2 linked regions of the Canis lupus familiaris genome follow. The protein of the gene in region 2 interacts with the protein of the main gene of each other region in a biochemical or structural test. Links are inferred from orthologs where the notes say so. Each region holds a gene or a part of one and is shown on either strand. Other genes may lie near its edges.

Region 1 (10,224 bases), on a different chromosome or scaffold from region 2:
AGAGGTATGCACACACACGGTTATATGTATCAGCTCCTACCACATGTGTGCAGAGACCACACCCACAACAACCCCCAACACATGTGTGGGTACCACACAGATAGTGAATGCACACTCAGTCAACCTCTGCCTCGTGTGTGCAGATACCACACACACTCACACCTTGACCCCTGCCACACACAGATGCAGGCAAACGTCTTATGCACATGCACGTATACCTGTGACATACACCCCTCTTCTTCCAGCAGAGCCACACCACTCCAGCCCTGTAACCCAGCTTATGCCTCCTCTGCCTCTCCTCCCTACCCAGCCCCACCTCATATTCTGCCCAGCCTCATGCTACCCCTCACCTGGGCTGCTGTCCTGAAGGATGATGGCCAGGAAAAAGTCCTGGGAGAACATGGCGCTGGTTCCCAGCCCCTCCTGCCTCCACCCTCCCTCCTCACAGCCCCTCCAGCCCAGCCAGCTGGGCTCACAGCCTGGTGCTGGGCTGCAGAGAAAAGCTCATCCCGCCCCCTTCTCACCAGGGCAGAGCGCCTGCCAGGCAAGATCCTCCCCCGCCTGGCGCTCACTAAGGAGGGGCCAGGACCACCATGGGACCTCCGTGGGGGGGGGGGAATAGAGGGTCCTCATAAGACCCTAGCCCTTCCTGCCCACATTTCTTCTTTCTAATCCTGACTCCCCTCCCCCAATTCTGAATCTCCATCCCACCCCGTAATGGGCATCAGAGTGCCACAGTCAAACCTAGTCTGGAGGACACCAGGAAACTCAGCCCCTCAGGAATACCTCAGCCACCTGGGGCCCTGCAAAGACTAGCTCTCAGCACAAAAAGGGTGTGGCTTCAGAGCTCCCGGGGATCCCTCCCCTGCCCAGGACCTGCCCTGCAGTTTGAGCCCAAAAGTGGGCCTTGAAGGCTGGGCCCCAGCAAGCTTGAGGCTGGGCTTGGGGCTTCCCTGCACAGCCCCCCTCACCTGCCAGGGCCCAGCTAGGCTGCAGCGTCTCCTCGGCAACCGCAGCACCAGGACGGTTGGGAGCGCCCAGACTGCTGACGTGCTTCCCGTTACCAGGGAAACCAGGAATCCTGACTGGTCCAAGAGGCAGCACTGAGGATACAGGCAGTCCCCAGACCCAGGCTGCTGGGCAACCAGGCACACAGAGGGGCTGGGAGCAGGTGTGGTCACCCAAGGTGGCCGCACACCTGATGCAAGCAAGATTCCTCACCACCCTGTTTGCAAATGAGGTAGGCCCATGGAGGAGGGGCTCTTGCCTGTTCAGCCTTCTAGGTAGCCATTATCACCTCTTCTCTCTCCACCCTGCCTTCATCTCAGACCCCAGGGAATTAAAATGCCTGCTCTTCCCCAGGGACCCTCCAGTGCCTTCCGGGCTCTCCTGTGGAACCTTTCAGGAGCACCAACAGCAAGAGCAACCGTGCCCTCCACAGACATACCCTTCTTCATGAAGGGTCACACACCTCTTGAATCTGGGGACCAATTCACCATCTTCTGACTGAGTCACACACCAATCCATCTGCCATCCCTGTTAGCCTGTACCTTCCTGCTTCAAAGAGCTTCATCCTTCCGATCTGTCCTGGAGGGGCGGGCTGCTCTCCCCCTCTGACCATCTGGGAGGCCCTTCTGGAGCCTGGCACATCTCCCTCCAAGCACAGCCCCACTAAGGCCTTTGCCACGCCACATGCACACATTTATTCAGGAATGTACATCTTCACTCCTGCATCGACTCATTCAGGCACTGACGCACGAATTCAAAGGTTTGTGCATCATTCATTCATCTGTGCATGCCGTCATGGTGAAACAGGTATAGCCATTTGCTCGGGAGTCAGTGAGTCACATAATGCTCTTTCCTCTTCTCCATCCCCATGTCACTACAGTAGTTCAAGCTTCTCCCTTTTACCTGGAATTCTTACCTGGATCACAGCAACAGCCTCACAGGTGGGCTCCCTCCTCCAGCCTAGTCTCCTCCAATGTGGACTGCACGCTACAGCCCACATGATTGTTTCAAAATGCTGAACTATTCTCTACCTTAGTAATCTTAATTATTTTCTCTTGCCCTCAGGATAGAACTCAAACTCCTCCCGGGGTGTGTGTGCTGTTATGAGCCTCTAACCTTCTGCCTTCGAGCCTTATTTCTGATCACCAGCCCCCACGCCCCTTGTCTCTCTCTCCCTGCTCTTCATGCCCCTCATCCTCTACAAGCCCAGCCTCCTTCCCTCAGGTTTCACCTAACTATCACCCACTCCTTCTTCAGGCCTGCATGTAAAGGTCACATATCAAAACTGACCCACCCCCTCACCCCCATGCACACAGGCTGAGTGCCCTCCTGCACATCTTCCATCCCAGTGCTCACCATGCGGATCAGAGCTGCCCGTCTCTCTCTGTACCCCCTAGACTGTGAGCGCCATGAGGACAGGAACCTCTGTCCCTTGTGCTATGCCTTCTCAGCATTTAGGACAAGGTCTGGCACTGAGTATGAACTCAACACAGGTAGTAAAGTTCATTCACTCTTCCATTCATTCATTTATTCAATCAACAACTCTGTGGAGATCCTAGGCTGGGAAGGACAAAATAACTTTTGCCCAATGCTACTCCATTCCTACAGGAACCCAGACCTCCTCCATGGCCTTCATGATCACAGCACCACAATTACAAAAGAGTAAGCAGTGACTCAACCCTTTCCGAGGCTGGCCCCACCCCACTCCCTCCACTTTCCATAGCCTCCACCAGAGCTTGATCCTTGGCTGTCCTCTCTCGCTGAGGTTGATGCCTGTGCCCAGCAGGCCCTTCCCACTTCTTTGGCAGTTCTGGTCTCCTTCTCCCAGACGGCTCACATGTGCAGCTACTACAGCGACCACCCCAGCAGCCCCTGGACCAATCAGGCTCTCCAGTATCTGGCCTCTGTCTCATACCCCACAGCTAGGGCAGAAGTTCCAAACTAGCAACCTACAGACAAATACAAGACTCAGATTTTGTGTGGCCTGCATGGTACTTTGTAAAAAAACAGAACTGGCTGCTAACATTTAGAAATTGGGCTATTTCACATCAATGTCCAGTTTTTGGTTTTCCTTGAAAAGTGGCATGAACTGACTGGATGACATTTCCCCCCCATGCAACCCTATAGATAACCAGCTGGAATGAAGTAGCAGCTGCTCCTTTAAAAGGAGGTCCAAACAATGACCATCGAAGGCTACTAACATCACAGAAAAGAGAAGCAACCAGACTTTGCCTTTGATAAAAGTACTCAATACCACCTATGAAACGTTCTTGCAAAAGCAACACACACACACACACACACAAAAAAAAACCTCTCAAATCCAAATCTGATCAAGGCTCTAGAACTCACTACCAAATCTGCAGGAAATCTAGGGGAAGAGAAACCTGCTCAATGCCACCACAGGGAGAGTCTACAAATCCAGACTCTGGAAAACCCAAGATAAATAACACTGTGTCTCTAATTTAAAACAACACTCTGCAAGCAAAAATAAAGAGAGACAGACGGAGGAATGGAAGCATGACATACAGACCCAAAGAAACTTTAAGATACACATCCACCATGGAAAGGTCTCCAACTAACTGGTTATTGATCCAAATAATCAAAACTTTAAATAGCAGGATGTGTGTGTGTGTGGGGGGGGGCGGTCATTTATTAAACAATTAGGAAATTATAAACATTGACTGGATATTTGATAATATTAAGAAGTTATTGCTGAATTTTTGTACTAATGATAATGGTTTTGTGAAAATTTTTAGAAGAATTTTGTTGTTTAGAAATGCATGAGTAAACAAACACTTATGGATTTGAGTGTCTGCTTTGAAATAGGCTAGGACCCAAGAGTAGGTCAGGGTATAGATGCAGCAAAATTAGTCATGTGTTGGTCACTATTAAAATGGAGTCATGGATAAATTGGGCTCATTATTCTATTCTCTCTACTTTTCTAGATGTTTGAAAATATCCATGTTAAGTTTTTGGAAAGGGGATGCTGTACTGCCTTTGGCTCACCTGCATGAACTACATGCTCCCCTGCAAAGGCTCCACAGTTTGGGGTCTGGTATGGTGCCTGCTGCCAGGTGCCCACCCGAGTCTTTCCTAATCTTTACTTATCTTCCAATCCAGAAAACTCTGGGCTTGTAGCTACAACCCATTATCTCTGTCCTCTGTTGCTCAGCTCTGTCTGCATCTCTATGTGACATCAGGAAATACGGAAATTCAATTTATTTAAATGGGACACATTTAATGATCAGTCCTTGGAGTCCAATACCTATTGTCCCCTCTTGCCCACCCCACAAAGATGGATATATTCATTCTTTCTTCTTTTATTTCCTAATTTTTAGTTAGTATTCTATTCCTGATACAAAGAATACAAAACGGTATCCTTACAAAGCCCAGAGTAGTGCTCTGCACACAACCGACCTCAGTCTTTCCAAGTAGACATCTGTGGGGAGGTGCTGCTGTTGCCTCCAGATCTGGCCTGTTAAAAGCTGACTTAAGTCAGCTCATCTGGCTCATCGTGCTGTGTGCATCAGTGGCAGGATAGGCAAGGACAAGAGCTCAGGTCTAGACTCAGTTCTACTATGATCCCAGACTGTCTGTGGCTTGGAAAAGCTACTTAACCTCTCCAGGCCTACTATGTATGATGTATGGGCATCATAAGAGCATCTAACTCACAGTATGACTGTGAGGATGGAATACAATTAATAATAAGCATAGGGCAGTACCTGGTAAGTGCTCCATAAATGCACCTAAGTCCACCGTCCATCAGTGTGTGCATGATGGATGAACCTAGCAACTTGTGCAAACACTCTGAATATCAGGAATGGTTTCATCCAGGAAAACCTGGATATGGCCTGCTGAGGACTATTAGGACACCAGCTCTGTGGCTCATGTCTGGGCTGGCCCTGACATTGATTTGGAGAGGCCTGACCCCTGTCCACTTGCCCTCCCGGATCCCCCATGTCAAGCTCCATAAAGTACCTGTGTCCTCTGGGGAGCCGTAGGAGGGGCTGCCCTGGGATAAGGTAGCCCAGCTGGAGTCCTCATCACTGGCTGCACTGTTCCGCATGCCAAACAGGAGGCTGGCACTCTTGCTGTGTTCTCGGGGACCGTCTGCAAGGGCCTGGGGTCTGGGGGGCACCTCCACACTCTCCGGGGGCTCGGGCAGCCCTTGGGGAGAAGACAAGTCCTCCTCCTCCTCCTCTTCGTCCTCTTCCTCATCATCCTCCTCAGCCTCCCCTGCCGCCTTCTCCTCTCCTTCATCTGGCCCGTGCTCTTGGGTGCTGATGATCAGGCCAGATCCTCGGAGCCCTCTGTTGGCTGCATTGTGGGCGGAGAGCTCCAGCTCAGAGTACAGGTGCATCAGGCCTTTGGGGCCCAAGGGTGCCATCTCAGGCTCCTGACTGGCCTCCTCTGCCAGGGTCAAGGTCACGTTGCGGTTCTGGTCACGATGGGCTGTGGCAGCCCGCCGGAGCTGGTTCTGGCCCTCTTTTAGCCATTTGGCATTGGCAGGGCCTGGCTCAGGCCCACCACCCTCCCCCATGGCACTGCGCAGGTCCTTGGGTCCCACAGCCGTAGCCTGCAGCTTGGAGTTGAGCAGCTGGTTGTGGGCAGTGTGCAGGGGCAGGGGTAGGCTCAGGGCAGGGCCTCCGTGGCTGTTGGCATTAATGGCCGACTGGCTCAGTGACGATGGAACAGACATGGCCTTGGCAGATCCTGTGGGGTGAGGATAGGAGACTGTGGTTGAGCCTCCAGGTCAAGACAGCAGCACCCCTGCTTCTGCCTGGGGCTGTGCTCCGTACCTCGTCATCTCCCTTATGCTCAGCAGACTAGCACCCACTGCTGTATCCTGAGAGCTATTTTCCCATGACAATGACTAGGCTCAACTCCTGTCCCCCCACACCACCACCCACTCAACCACCATCTCCACCAAAGGCTAGGGCCAGGCCTACAATCCACCCCAGCCCCAAATCCCCAGCCCTGAGCTTTCTGAGACAGCACAGCCAGCCCCTGCTTTGCCTTCAATCCCAACAGCAGAGCTTCCACACAATGGCTCTCTGTGCATCCCCACCCCCACTTATCTGACCGGGGCTTACTGTGCCAGGGACCCAGCTGGTGTGGGACTGGCTCATGTGTTCTGGGACTGGACACTGACTGCCCTCTTCCTCTTGCCACGTTGCTATCCACAACTTCCTACTGTGAGCTCCCTAGGCAGTGTTCCTATCACAACCAGCCCCTAAGCCCAGGCCTACTAGGGACTGTGAGAATAGGAGAGAATGAGCTGTAGACCATCAAGGGCGTGGACCTGGGAAGGAAGGTCACAAAGGAAAGACCTTCAGCCTCAATTCGTGAATTGAATTGGCCAGTTGAAGCTACATCTTGATGACTGTTACTATAAAGTATCTTACTTTGGACACCACTCCACCTGCCAGGCCCTATAATGCCTCATGCCTCAATCAACAGGAGCTTTTGACCTGTACTCTCCAGCCCTTTATGTCTTGATCCAAATGTCATCTTCTCAGTGAGGCTTTCCCTGACACCCTTTTAAAACTGCAAGCCACCATGCCCTCTCTCAGCAACACGCAAACCTTCCCTAGTGCCTAGCACCATCTGTCAAGCTATTTATCAATATTATTACCACTATTTGTTTAATCATTGTCTCCCCATGACTGCAATTTCAGTTCCATGGTGGAAGATTTTGTCTTTTTTTTTTTTTTTCTTTTCAATACAATATGCCTAGACCGTAACAAACCCTGGCACAGAACAGGAATTCAATAAATATTTGTTGAATGAATGTGTAAGTCTGCTCTCCTATCTCCTCCAGGCCCGATTTTAGCATCTCCTCTGCCAGTTGCAGGAAACACATTTTGGTCATGTCACTGTGTCTCAACCACTACTCGTGGTGGCCCAAACAAATCCCATCTGCTGCAGGTGAGGGGATCTCCTGTTCCACAGTGACAGCCCTCCCCAACTTCCTGCCCCTTGGCCCCTCTCTCATTACAACCCCTTTGTGGAACACCTTCACTGCCTAAATATCCTTACCCAGTGATCCCATCAAGGCCTCCTTCCATCCTCACCTTCTACTGCTCTAGTGTCCTCCTTCCCTGACTGTCACTGTAAAGTGCTTACTCCCTGGACCCTCACTGTCACCACCTCACAGGCCATCCTCCCTGACCAAGTCTTTCTCATCCTGGCCCTCTTAGCTCCGTGTCGCCTTCCACTTGTCCCATCCCCTCTCTGAGTCCTCTCTTCCTCCTCAACCCTTCTCTTCAGCACACCACTCTGTCTCACTGGCTGCCCCTCACTGCATACCTCTCTCTCTGACTCCCACCGTGTGGTTCTTTCTCCCCCATTTCTCACCTGAGCGTTCTCTCTCCCCCCTAGCCCCCACTGAAGAGTTCCATCTCCCCTGACCCCCTGTCCTGGTTCTCCCTGCACCTCGGGGTAGCTCTCAGCTCTGAGCACACATTGCCAGTGAGGTGCTTTAGGCTGTCTGACCAAGGCTCTGCTGTGCCTCAGGTACAGCACATGGTCCTGGGGCAGGAGCCATAGTTTGCTTTTCCATCATGCCTAGCTCCTCAAACCCTAGCACAACACTGTGCACACTTCCGTGACCTGGATGAAAAAATGTTCCTGTGTGTCTGCCTCATGTGGAACTGCAGATCTGCCTGGTGTGGCTCCACCTGGGTAATAAGCAAACTCATGGTCACTGGCATAAACAAGAAAAATAAACAGCTCTGCCACTACCTAGAACCACAGTAATCTTCCAAAAATGGAAACCAGATTGTGTCACTCCCCAGTTGGAAAATTTAGATGGCTCACTGCTACCTTCAGAATAAGATCTGTGCTCACTAGCAGGACACCGAGAGCCTCCTTGAGCCAATCCCTATGACCTCTCAGACCTCCTCCCCCTTCCCTGCCTCTTTCACACTTTACATTCCAGCTTCACAAAATATGGCAGATTCTAGAACATGTCACACCCTGACAGCCCTGGCTCTTTGTTTACAGTGCTCCCCCCGCTTGGAATCCTGTCTCCCTGAGTGAGAACCTCTGCTCATGTTTCAAAACTTGGCTTGGCAGGCACAGCTTCTGAGCAGTGAGGCTTTCCTGTTCCGTTTTCTCTCTTTTTTGCTCAGGGGACCATTCCCTCCTCCATGTCTCATGATACCCAATGCCCCATTCCCTCCAAACACCCGAGACTGTCTTATTCGACTTCACATTCCCATTACCAAGGAGTGTGCGTGGTGTGTGTGCCACACAGTGGAGCCTCGATGTGGACAGAAGGGAAGGATGGAGGGAACAGACAACGTGTGCCCAGAGCTGAGAGCTACCCTGAGGTGCTCTCAGGGGGTAAGAGGGATTTGGAGGCTGAGACTAGTGGGAGCAGACACTGAGACAAACCTGTGCGGCCCCATGGGCTGCAAGTGGGCAATAGGAGTATTAGAGAGGCTGCTGGAGAATGATGAAGGGTACCTGAGAAGGCAGGAGGTCCCAGAGCAGTAAGGACCAAGATCTGGGACAAAGGGAGGGAGGGAATTAGTGTACACTGACGTCTTGACTTGAAGGCTGTTCCACAGTGGCATCCCCATTGAGTTTCAGGATGTGAAGACCCTGTGACTATGGCAAGCTGAGAGGATCACAGAGACGATGAGTCCTTCTCTGAAGCAGCAGTGTATGGAGCCAGGTTTTTAAGAGGTCAGGATGGTATTGACCTCCTTAGCACTTGGAGGTGTGATCTGGGAAAGGCACATACACTGTGAGGCTGGGACAGTGAAGAGCCAGATCAACTCCAAGGCAGCCCTGTCCCTCTGGTCACCAGGGCAGAAAGTACTGGGGGAGAAATGCAGAAGCTCTGTTGTGAACAAGCACTGAAACCTAAGTTCCTGGTTCAAGGCATTGTATGGCACCATCACCTAACTTTTTGAGGTCAAAGGATAACCAGCGGCCCAGGATCCTCAAGAAGGGGCACTCATTTTGGGGTTAGGTGTACCTGAAGCCTCTCAAAGGACGGAAAGAGCCACATGGATTCTGGCTCAAGGCAAGGAGCTAAGAGTGGCCACTAAGTGTGAAGGGGCTCAGATTGACTGCAGGGATGGGGGTACATCCTACTCAAGATCAAGAGTCCTCTAACCTGACAGCTTACTATTTGCAAGGCACTGTGCTAGGCATGGGGAAGAGTGATGAATTATGAAGAAATGGTCCCTCCCGGAATATAAATAATAGTGAAAGGGAATATAGGGGAAGGGAGAAGAAATGTGTGGGAAATATCAGAAAGGGACACAGAACATAAAGACTCCTAACTCTGGGAAACGAACTGGGGGTGGTGGAAGGGGAGGAGGGCAGGGGGTGGGGGTGAGTGGGTGATGGGCACTGAGGGGGGCACTTGACGGGATGAGCACTGGGTGTTATTCTGTATGTTGGTAAACTGAACACCAATAAAAATTATTTTATTAAAAATAAATAAATAAATAAAATCTCTAAATCTTGAGAAAAAAAAAAAGAAATGGTCCCTCCCCAGTGGAGTACACAGTATAGCAGGGAAACCACCCCTTACAATGCAGTGTAGTGCCAGGGTCTGGACGGTCCCTGGCACCGATAAGCACTCCCTATTTGTTGAATAAATGATGGAGTATGATGGGGGGAGGAACAGGGGGCACTACAGGAGTCTGAGTTGTACTCTAGCCCAGACATCAGCAAGGAGCTGCTCAAGGAAAGACTTTTAAGTTGAGACAAGAGCACAACTCTCCTTGGACCACCTGGTGCACCACCCCTCCCTCCCAGAGGAAGACCTCCCCCTCCTCCTTCCCAGAGGAAATGGAATGGATTGGGGAATGTCCACAAACACTAATTTGCTGACCTCGGCACCTATCCTTTTATCCTTCTTCCTAAGACCAACTGCTTCATCTCTTAATTGGTTCCTTCCTTTCATGCCTTTCCAGGAATTTTATACCACTGTTCACCCATTTTCTCTTCTAAATAATCAACCTCTCCTTCTCAATGGGATCTACTATCTACCAACTTAAAAGCAGAATGTGTCTTGACCAATGGTCCTCCAGTGCCACTAGCTGCTCTTTCTCTCTCCCCATCCAGCTCAAGCAAACCTCTTGAAAGAGCTGTCTCTACTCACTGTTATCATTTCCTCACCTCGCGCTCAATGCTCAACCTCTCCAATCAATCCTGCTTTCACTCCCAGAATGTCTCAGCAACAGCTCTTGCCAA
Region 2 (10,324 bases):
ACTTCAGGCAACTTACCCAACCCCTCTAAGTGTCTGCTCTCATTTCTTTCATTCATTTAACAAGTATTTATTAGACACCTACCATGGGCAAGGTACTAGGGATACAGTAACAAACAAAAGTAGATTTTTACTTTTATTTTTAAAAAATATCTTATTCATGAGAGATACACAGAGAGGCAGAAGCAGACTCCCTGCAGGGGGCCTGATGTGGGACTCGATCCCAGGACCCCGGGATCATGACCTTAGCCAAAGGCAGACACCCAACCAATGAGGCACCCAGACTCCCCCAAAAATATATTTTTAAAACCCCACCTCGTAGCACTTACATTCTGCTAAAGGAAGACAAACAATAAACAGGTATAAAATTCAAATCCACAGTATATAGACGGCAGTATGTGATCTGATGAAAAAATAAAGCAGAGTCAGGGGGAAAGGGAATACCCCAAGAGAGGTCAGGGCCACAGCTGAGCAAAGAGCCAGGAAATGAGGAAGCAAACCACGTGGGCATCTGGAGGCAGAGGCCGGGGGAGGGGATGCCTGGTGTGCTCAAGAACAGTACGAGGCCAGTGTGACAGAGGGCGGGCGTGAAGGACACAGGACTCTGTTGGAGATGGAATATGGTGGCAGCAGCAGGGCCAGGCTGAGCAGACCCTTTCAAGATTCCCCAAGAGCTGGGGCATGTGCAGGCAGGCGGGAAGCCATTGGAAGGTTCTGAGCACAGGACTAATAAAACTTGCCCTGACATTTTAAGAAGAGAAACAAGTGAAGAACCGGGAGCAGGAAGACAAGGCAGACAGGATGCTGGGAGGCCGGTTACAAGGCCACTGCGCTGAGTTGGATACGAGATGGTGTCAGCATGGACCAGGCTGGTGGCATGGAGATGCTGGGAAATGGTGGGACTCTGGGCATACTTTGAGGTACAGCTGACAGAACTCCCCTTGATGGCTCAGACATGGAGCGTAGGAGAAAGAAAGGAGTCAGGGATGGCTGAGCAGCCAAAAGGAAGGCCAGGCTGTGGACACGTGAGGAAGGAATGGCTTAGGAAAGAACTGGGGAACAGTGTGAGATGTGCTAAGTTTGAGATGCCTGGTAGACTTCCAGACAGCAACGCCAACCAGGCAGCTGAAGACATGGGACCAGTCTGGGGAAAGGCTGGGGTGGGAGGTATACATTTTGGGGTCATCTGTATCCCTGAGCTCCTGTCGTCATTGATGGTATGTGGCTTGGGGTAACCATGGGCTAAGCAACTAGTGGTGCGTGGGCCACAACTATCCAGTCTTGTGCCTTCCCCATCCCCCATCTCCTATTGATGAGCAAGCAAGCTTGCTCACTGCAGTGTGACAGTCACTGTACCTAAACACCTCTCTCTTCAAGGGACCACAGGGCTCAGGAAATGCAAGGGGCTCGACACTGGGTGGGCTCGACATTGGGTGGGCTGTCCTGGCTTCCAAACTTCAGGTCTTCCCTCATACCACTCATTTTGACTTATTTCCATAATCCAGTGAAAGAGAAAGGAAAGTTAAAACTTTTCCCAAGAGTAAATGTAAATCTGAATAAAGAAAGAACTAGCTGGAGTTTGAACCTCAATTTTATTTAAAAATAAAATAAAACAGACTCGGAGTAGTGACTTCTCATTTTCATGTGACTGACACATTCCAACTGTGGATTTTAGATCTTGGAGTTGGTATGCCACATTCCTTCTAGAAATAAATCAGAATAAGTATCAGGAATCCTGAGAAACAGTGGATTCTGATTTGGGTTCCATTCTCCCTTGTGAGATCATAGAGCCAAAAATCACATTTAAAAATGTTGATTCTGGGGATGGCAGGGAATGTAGTCACCATTCTGGGTCTAGAAGGGGAAGGAAAACCACACAGTGTCCCATGAAGCTGTCTCCAGGGGTGCTCAGAAGGCAGCCTCTGAGGTATGGAGTAACTAAATGTTTACTAAACTATGAATTCAGTACACTTCTCATGTAAGAAGTTTTTTTGAAAAGGTAAAAACAGAGGTGAAGTGGGTCTACCACAACAGCCAGCAGAATAGCTTGCCTGGTGCTAGAACAATACAGTCCTGAAGTCAATGGCAGGCAAAATAAATACCCTAGCTGTCTGGAAAATGCTGGCCCAACTACTCAAGCTCTCAGGATTCTGCAACTGTGTGGGTTTGGCCCCGGCAAATCATTACAATCGTCAGCACGTTCTAGAGTGAGATCATCTGCAGAGATTCCTTATGAAATGTGATCGGCGTTCTCCGGCACTCCCGCAACTGGGGTGTGCTGAGGACACTTCACATTTTTCTCAAGAGGTCAGCTGTCAGCTTTTCGACATGCTCTTCTGAAGTAGCCCACTCAACGGGCACCCTGGTACCAATATCAGGCCTGCACCAAGCTAGCTTGCTTGTTTTTCCTCCCTTATTAAATCCCCTGAAAACAAACTCTGTCAACTGCTTACCTATTAAGGCCTTACTGTGTGTCAAACAGTTTTAGGCACAAAGGGAGACAAAGTTAAAAACCCAGGAGACCTGGAAGCTCTCAAGGAACTCTGTCCATGTTAAAATCAGACTTCTTTTTAAAATGAATGTGGCCCTTGTGCTCTCGCGGTTGGGGTGTGTGCATGGAGGAGTTTGTGCACTCATGGGCCTGTGAACACGTGTGCAGAGGCTGATGGCGCTGACCCGGGTCCTCTGCCAGTATGCTCATGTAGAAAGAACGATATAATGTATAAAGTAAGTTCATGTCATCTCATTTAATTCTAATAGCATTCTAGACTTTCTTACAGAAAATTCATACAGAAAATTGAGACTAAAAGAAGATCAAGAAACTTGCCAAGTCCCCACAAGCCACACATGGGAGAACCTGGGTTATAAACCGATGCCCCTACCCTCACCCGTCCCCAGGAGGAGGGGCTGTTGGGGTGAGTGATCATGGCTATAGTTTAACCTCCCACGTTGCTTCTGGTCCACCTGCCTGAACTTGAACTACAGCTTCTGGCTCTGGATTTCTTTCCTGCCTGTACCCCCTTGCCTTTGCCTCCAACTTCCCATCTCCATAATGACAGTCTGTCGGTTTTCTCCAAGCCCATGGTTCTGAAAGTCTGGTCTCCAGACCTACAGCATCAGAATCACCTGTGGACTTGCTAGAAATGCAGAACCTCAAGCCAACCCCAGACCTACTGGATCTGAGCCTCTGGGAGTGGGGCCTGCAATCTGGGCTTTCCTGGACATTCCAGGTGATTCTACTGAAGGCTACAGCTTGAGCACCACCCTGACCTACACTGACCTACACTGACCAGGCTAGCTCCCTGAGAGTGCCTGTGTGGGCCCATCATGATCACTTGGCCTCCACACATGTAAATCCCAGGACTAAAGAAGAAAGCGATTTGTCCAGCACATGCAGCAGTCACAAAATGCAATCATTCCCAACAAAGTTCTTGAGGACCAGCTTAGGGAAAGCTGGAAGCATAGGTAACAGACTTCCCCTTTCTGGTCTACTTTCTGCAGCTGGCCCCACTTTCTCTGTTCGGCACTGCAGTGGCCTTCAACCTGACCCCCTTCCCACTCATCAGACCCAGTCTGTGGGCTAGGAGCTCACCAAAGTGGGAACAGGCTTGTTGATACTTATCCCTCTTGCCTAACTGGGAAAGGAGGTGAACAGCTCCACACTCTGCTCAAGACAATTAGTTAAGGCTTACTCCATCTAGAATAAATGCTTACAATAAGATATGAACCTCACAACTATATTACTTTCTACAATCCCCAAAACTCCTTTCTCAGACGGATCAGAAAAGCTAATTTTCAAATTGGGATTAGAACCCGGGACTCCCAACTCCCTCTCTATGGACCTATCTACTGTAACACATCAAGCATAAAACAAATTCCTGTTAGTTATCTAATCAAGCTAAAATAAAACAGTAAGTCCTGGTCATTGTATAAGGGCACGGGCCCATGTCACCAGAGCATACTGCCACAAGGAAAGAATGTCCTTTTCATAAGCCCGGTCCATTAGAAATCATGCAGAGACACTCTCTTAAACAAAGGATAACTTCCTAGATCCAAAGCTCCAAGTTTACAGGAAGGGCGAGGGACAATCTTTATAGCCTGCTTTTCTTCATGCAGATCTGGGGATCCTCTCATCTACTCCCTTGATTTTGCTTAAAAGGTCTCTAATTTCTTTCTAGAAATAATGAAAGGTGGTTATTCTATTATCATTTTAATGTCTATTGCAGCACCGTTCTTCGGAGGGAACAAAAAAGGCCTGTAGAGACAGAACTGAGGTCCCCACACAATCACCCCCTTGCCAATCGATATGGTATTTACACTCTGTTCTAAAATATACCGAAATTCCATTTGAGAAACGAGAGGCTGCCGGAGGTTAGGAGCAGACACACACATACACACTCTCTTCCATATGTTCCAAAAGGTGGAAATATGCACACGAATGATCAGATCACCCTCCCATTCCGCCTCCTTTATTTTCATTTCTTAGAAACTATCTCCGTTGGAACATCCCTTCCCACATTCATACCCAGAGACAGATCCGTGGAGAGGAGATGGAGGAAAGAGAAGGAATAAGATTCACAAAAGACTAATTTGGAGCATTGATAATTACAGCAGCTGAAGAGCTAACGAAAGCAGAGAAGGACCCTGTAACAAAACACCATCAGGGCACTTCCCAGGAAACTGCCCAGGCACAAGATTACTATTAACAATGAGGAAAAAAATCAGAGCCAAAATCAAATCTCAACTAAGCAGGCAGACTTACAGAATTTTTCACCTTCACTGCTACGATTAGCATTTTTTTTAAAAGAGCACTAGACTCCGTGAGTTTGACAAAGGAAGAAAAACAAAAGATAGCAAGAGACTCATTCTAGATAAACAGTTGCTATTCTGCATTCATAACTCTACACCAGCCACAGCAGCTCGAATGAGGCACAAGGTGGGGTCCTCAGCAAATTTACACACGATCAAACCAATTATCCACGCTGCACTTGTGCATGCAGTAAACACCCTCGACCTGCACCACCTCTCTGCTTCCCACCCCCAAAACCGAGATCGACCCCACCAAATGCAGAAAAGAACCCTTTTTTGGGTGAGAACCAGCTAGAGCCTAAGCTGTCATTACACAGCAAAAACCTAGCGAGAACAAAAACCCAGCAGCAGACTGATGTAGGAAGCCCAGAACGTACCTGAATTCTTCAAATGCAAACATGACCTAGTCAGAGACAATTTCCTTAGATTGTCTGGTAGCCTTTTTGGTTCGGAGGACAACCATTTAGTCAGTCAGATGGTGCAAAGTGCAGAAAAAAGAGGCGGGGTTTCCACACCCCCCCAATATTCTGAAGTAAAAGGCTTTCTGCAGACAGGGGCCTGCAGCCTCCAGCTCCGCCAGCTGCTGACAAGCGGCAGCTAACAGGGGAGGCAGCTAGAGGACCATGTGATCATTCCAGCAAGTCTGATTAATGCAGTGTATGCTTAGGCTCCAGGCTGGGAACTGGATTAGCCCAGAGAAATAAGTCGAACCCCTGGGCATGCCTGGCATCCTGGGTGAATCACATATACGTTCCCCACCCCACCCCCCCACCCCCCACACACACCCAGCCAGAAATTTGCAGGTTGGGAAATGGGAGGCCAAGGCCTAAAGGAATGTCACCAGCTCCACGGTGACCTGCCCATTACCCCATCTTGGGTGGCTGCTGCTGTCACCATCAGGTATGGCCAGTGTGGTCAGTGAACAGGACAGAGTGTTACTCATGTTACTGAAAATTCCGCAGAATTCCACTATTGAGCATTTGTTCAGCACAAATGCATAAACTGCTTCAGAACCACAGAAGTCACATTCTATACTTACCACTTTACCATGAACAACATGACCTTCTAGGTCAACTGTGATGACTGATCTCATTTACTTAACTATTCATTTATTGAGTGTCTAGTGTGTACCAGGCTCTTATCAATTCCTTGAGGTACAAAAATTACCATAACAATTTCAGAACAGAAGTTAAGAAAAAGGAAAAGAGACGTCAGAGAAGAAAGAAAGAAAGAAAGAAAGAAAGAAAGAAAGAAAGAAAGAAAGAAAGAAAGAAAAGAAAGAAAAGAAGGAAGGAAAGAAAGAAAGAAAGAAAGAAAGAAAGAAAGAAAGAAAGAAAGAAAGAAAGAAAGAAAGAAAGAAAGAAAGAAAGAAAGAAAGATGTTTACCGGTTTGTAAAGCCCAAGCTGGCAAGATTTGGCTGTATTCTGAAACTTGCCATTATGGAGATCTTCAGCATTTAGAGCGCAAATCTTTATAAAATAAGGGAGACAGATCTCAAATAAAAACCTGTGAGTCACTCTTGAGTTTCTTACTCCCTCACAACACAGGAACAATCAGTCGCTAATTCTGATTGTACCTCCAAGAGGTTTCTTTGAGTCCAGCCCCTACCATCCCAGGCCCTTAGCACTTCTCAGGCGGCCTTGCACCTTATAACCGGTCTTCCTCACAGTCCTTCTCTAAAAAATCAGCCCAAGCCATTTTCTAAATCTGATTCTGCTGCCTCCGCCCTTTCCAACCCTGCAGTAGTTCCTTGGTACCCATGGGATTATGCAAAAATGCCTCAGCCCTGCAAAGAAAGTCTTATTTCTCCCACTCTTTCTTCCATCAAAACTCTTCACAAACCCCCAAATTCAGCCAGACATTCCAGGTCCCCAGATATGCTAGGACCTCCTTCCTTTGGTCCATGAGGCAACTGGCCCAGATTATTCCTTGTTTCGTGTGTGACGTGTGTCCTCTCACGCAAGGCTCTGCCCCCAGGAGCCTGCACTACCCCCAGGACAGTCAGCCACTGCCACTGAGCCATGGCATAGCACTCCGCCTGCCCCACACATCCCTGAGGCCCGTAGGGCAGTGACGTGCATTCCCAGAGCCTGGCACAGAGCTGGACAAAGAGAAGCCATTCAGTAAAGGTCCAGGGCAGGAACCTCCTTTTGCCTCTGCCTCTGGGATACAGGTATCCACACATGCAGGTGCTCTGGGATGACTGTGCTCCTCCCCGTGTTCTCTCTACCTTGAAGGGCAGCCAGAGTCCAGAGCCCAACTCAAAGAAATGAAGTGGTAGCGGCAGGCTGACTAGTGAGGACAATTAGGGGGAATCCTAGGATCCCTCAAACCATGCAGCAATCATCAACTGAGCCGATCCGGAATGCCCTGCCCAGTATTCCTGACAAGTCTTTGCAAGGGACCCTTCAGTGACAGCAGCTTCTTGGCAGCATCACGATACAACAGAAAACACAAGAGATACAGAGTCCTTAAATAACCGAGTTCACGTCCCAGATCTGCCACTTCCTGACTCCATGATCACTGACAGGCGACTCGAGCTGTCCGCGCCCTGCTCCCTGCACAAACAGTTGGAATAACGCAGATGCTGCCTAGGCCTCTCACAGGACAGCTGTCGCGACCCCACAGGGTAGCACCGGGGAGCTGTGAGAGGTCCTTGTTGAGTACATCAAGTTGTGGAAGGTTCTTCATCATCATTACCGCTTCACAAGGCCACCTCCCCTTGAACAGTGCTGATAGCTGGACGATCTTCTCTGTGAGATCACCATCCCCAGGGAAGTGTTTGGTCTGCATGAGGGGTAGGGGTCAAGGTATTTCTATCTTAGGATTTTCAGGACAAGGGGTGTGTGTGTGTGTATACATACACATATATACCATGTATGGATATATGTATAAGATAACTATCCTAAATTCTAAGTTAAAAAAAAGCAATAAAGACTACCCAAATCTTAGAAAAAGCAATTCACCCACACCAAATGCAATTACATGATGTTGTTATTTATTAAATTAAACTACCTGGGTACAGTCATAGATGGGCTGAGGTAGGGGCAGCTGGTAATCAGCCAGACACAATCTTCTTGAGGGAAAGGAGATTTAGAGTATTCTGTTACCACTCCTTTGCAGCCTCAAGGACAGGTCTAGTAAACAGCAGACACTCCATAATTACTTCTGATTGACAGATGTGTTAGTTGGTCTAATGGCCAGAACCCACATTCTTGGCACTATCTGCAAAGTATGGGGAAGAGAAGCAGTGGTCTTAACTCCTAGACATTTGTCATGGAGTTACAGACGTTTGTAAGAACTGGCCCGATGTGCTTTAGCCCGGCCATGAGGCAGGTCCACTGTGGCACAGGCCCAGGGGATAGACACCTCTCAACTTCATGGCTGGTTTCCACCAGTAACACAAGAATCTCCTCTTGGAATGCTGGTTATACCTCTCAGGGCAATTCATAAGGTCCTAGTACAAGCAGAATTGCTGAGAACTTGTGAAAAATCTTCAAATCCCAGCACCAAATGTATGGTAGACAAAATTTTATGAGATTCCCCAATTTACTAATAAGGAAACAGGCCAAAGAGGTTAAGTAACTTGCCTAAGGTCATACTGCTGTCCAATGGCAGAGCAATGACTTGGAGCCAGGCCGGCTTAATGCCAGTGCTTGCAGACCCCATGCCCTCTCAGGTCCCAATACCAATGATCCTACCGCCTCTGGCGGCCTCCAGAGACAGCTGATCCCATAGACCACCAGGCAGCCTGTAGCTCCAGAACAGGGCTGGGCCACAGTGACCGTCTGGGGTTCCTCTACCCAGCCAGTCCTAGCTAGTGCCTGAATGTCATGGCCAGGCATGCATGTCTGCACCGCCTGCTTCAGCTGCCGCAGGAAGGAAGGGCTAGGATCCTGGGTTGACACAGGACCAGACTAGGAACGGAGTCGGCTTCAAACCCTAGGCACTTCATTTGATCCCTGATAGCACCAGAGTGTCAGGAAGAGGGACACAAGTGAGGGTCCGTGCCTCCTGACAGCTCCACTCTCTGAATAAGCTGGGAAGGCACTTCAGTGACCAAAGAATGTTAAAAAAATGAAAGGTCATCCCAGGTCATTTACTGATGACTCAAGGCTCAGACAAAGCCTGTTCCTGCCATGGAACCTTTTGTTTTTTTTTTTGTTTTTTTTAAATGTCACTTACATGGGACATAAAGCTGATACATGTAGAGGGTTCTGGTTGAAGGAGGAGTGGAAGAGCCCACAGTCCCTGCCCCCAGGCTTTCCCCTCCCTCCAGCAGGGGCAGGCCAGACTCAGCCAGAGAACACCTGGCTCAAATGACTGGCAGCCCCATCTGACATTCTGGATGGGGTGGAGCTCTCTGAGCTCGGGTCATCACACTCACCCTAGTTAATCTGGACTCACCCCCTTTTTTTAGTCTCATCCTAAGAATAAAAGCCCCCCCCCCCCCCCACCTGGATCCTGCTGTCATCATAGAACACTGTCCTCCTGCAGTGACTGGCCATGAGAGCTCCCTGAGGAGTCCCCAGAGAAACAAATGTGGAGATACTGAATACAAATGCTATCATTAACAGGAGATGTTCCCAGGCCCAGTACAATCTGGGAAAACTAACATTTCTAGGCATGCAGTAGGCCTTTGGTAAAAAAAAAAAAAAACAACTTGTTGAATTCACTTAATGTGCTTTTGTTGCAGCTGAATTAACTTTTCCAAAAAAAATTAAAAACAAAACCCAAAACAAAATCCCTTCCTTCAACTGATAAGAAATGTTGAATCCTACATGCTGAACTATTTCTTTCCCCCAAATTACATAAATTCAAATGAACTTCTACAGTGACATTTACTTTAAAATAAAAGTTTTAAATAAAGCCATCCCTCATCCCTATTTTGAGAATTCTATTTAAACTAAAAGCAACCCCCCCCCCCCCGCCCCAAAGCATTTTACTATAGAGAAAACACAAGTATCTTCAGTCTACCACTACTCAAAAGTAGGAGTCATTGGTAATTACTTCTGCATTCCTGTCTACATTGGTCTCTCAGCAAATAAGCGCTCTCTAGATGTGCCAGGTGACTGGAGATTATCTTTGCACTCACTCAACAAACAGCTGGAGGGCTACTATGCTAGATGCTATTCCAGGTGCTGCAGAGAGAGCAGAGTACATCAACGTCCTCTGTCTCCCAGTGCTTGAGTCTAAGGGTGGAAGGCAGATCACAAATGAATAAAGATGGGCACTGAGCCATGGAGTGGTGGGAGCTACTGAATTTAGCAGACATAATGGGAAAGACCCCTTCAGGGGTGATATTTATGCTCAGATTTGAAAGACAACCAGGGGATGGGTATGCAAATCTCAAGGAAGGATTACTGCAAGCAGAAGAATCAGCTGAGGTGGGAGGGAACAAGCCTGGCTTTCACCCAGTCATGCAATGTGGCTGGAACGGAGGAATAAGGAACAGAAGAAATGGAGATGAGGACAGACAGGGTCAGCAGGGTGTTGGCAGCTGAGGGGGAAGCCACT

The links.
Region 1: the proteins of EVL (region 2) and APBB1 form a complex in vitro, tested with the Homo sapiens proteins (2 studies listed by BioGRID). The link is inferred for Canis lupus familiaris from reciprocal best matches to the Homo sapiens genes EVL and APBB1.

The regions. Positions count from the first base shown.
Region 1 is NC_049242.1:30,236,761-30,246,984, forward strand, and holds part of APBB1 (amyloid-beta A4 precursor protein-binding family B member 1), read right to left. Parts: intron 5,722-10,224; 5' UTR 5,708-5,721; coding exon 4,987-5,707; intron 3,340-4,986; exon of another isoform or gene 3,136-3,339; intron 1,241-3,135; exon of another isoform or gene 1,080-1,240; intron 992-1,079; exon of another isoform or gene 972-991; intron 375-971; exon of another isoform or gene 351-374; intron 1-350. UniProt on the Homo sapiens protein: Transcription coregulator that can have both coactivator and corepressor functions. Adapter protein that forms a transcriptionally active complex with the gamma-secretase-derived amyloid precursor protein (APP) intracellular domain.
Region 2 is NC_049229.1:68,758,093-68,768,416, reverse strand, and holds the start of EVL (ena/VASP-like protein), read right to left. Parts: upstream 5,397-10,324; 5' UTR 5,207-5,396; coding exon 5,184-5,206; intron 1-5,183. UniProt on the Homo sapiens protein: Ena/VASP proteins are actin-associated proteins involved in a range of processes dependent on cytoskeleton remodeling and cell polarity such as axon guidance and lamellipodial and filopodial dynamics in migrating cells.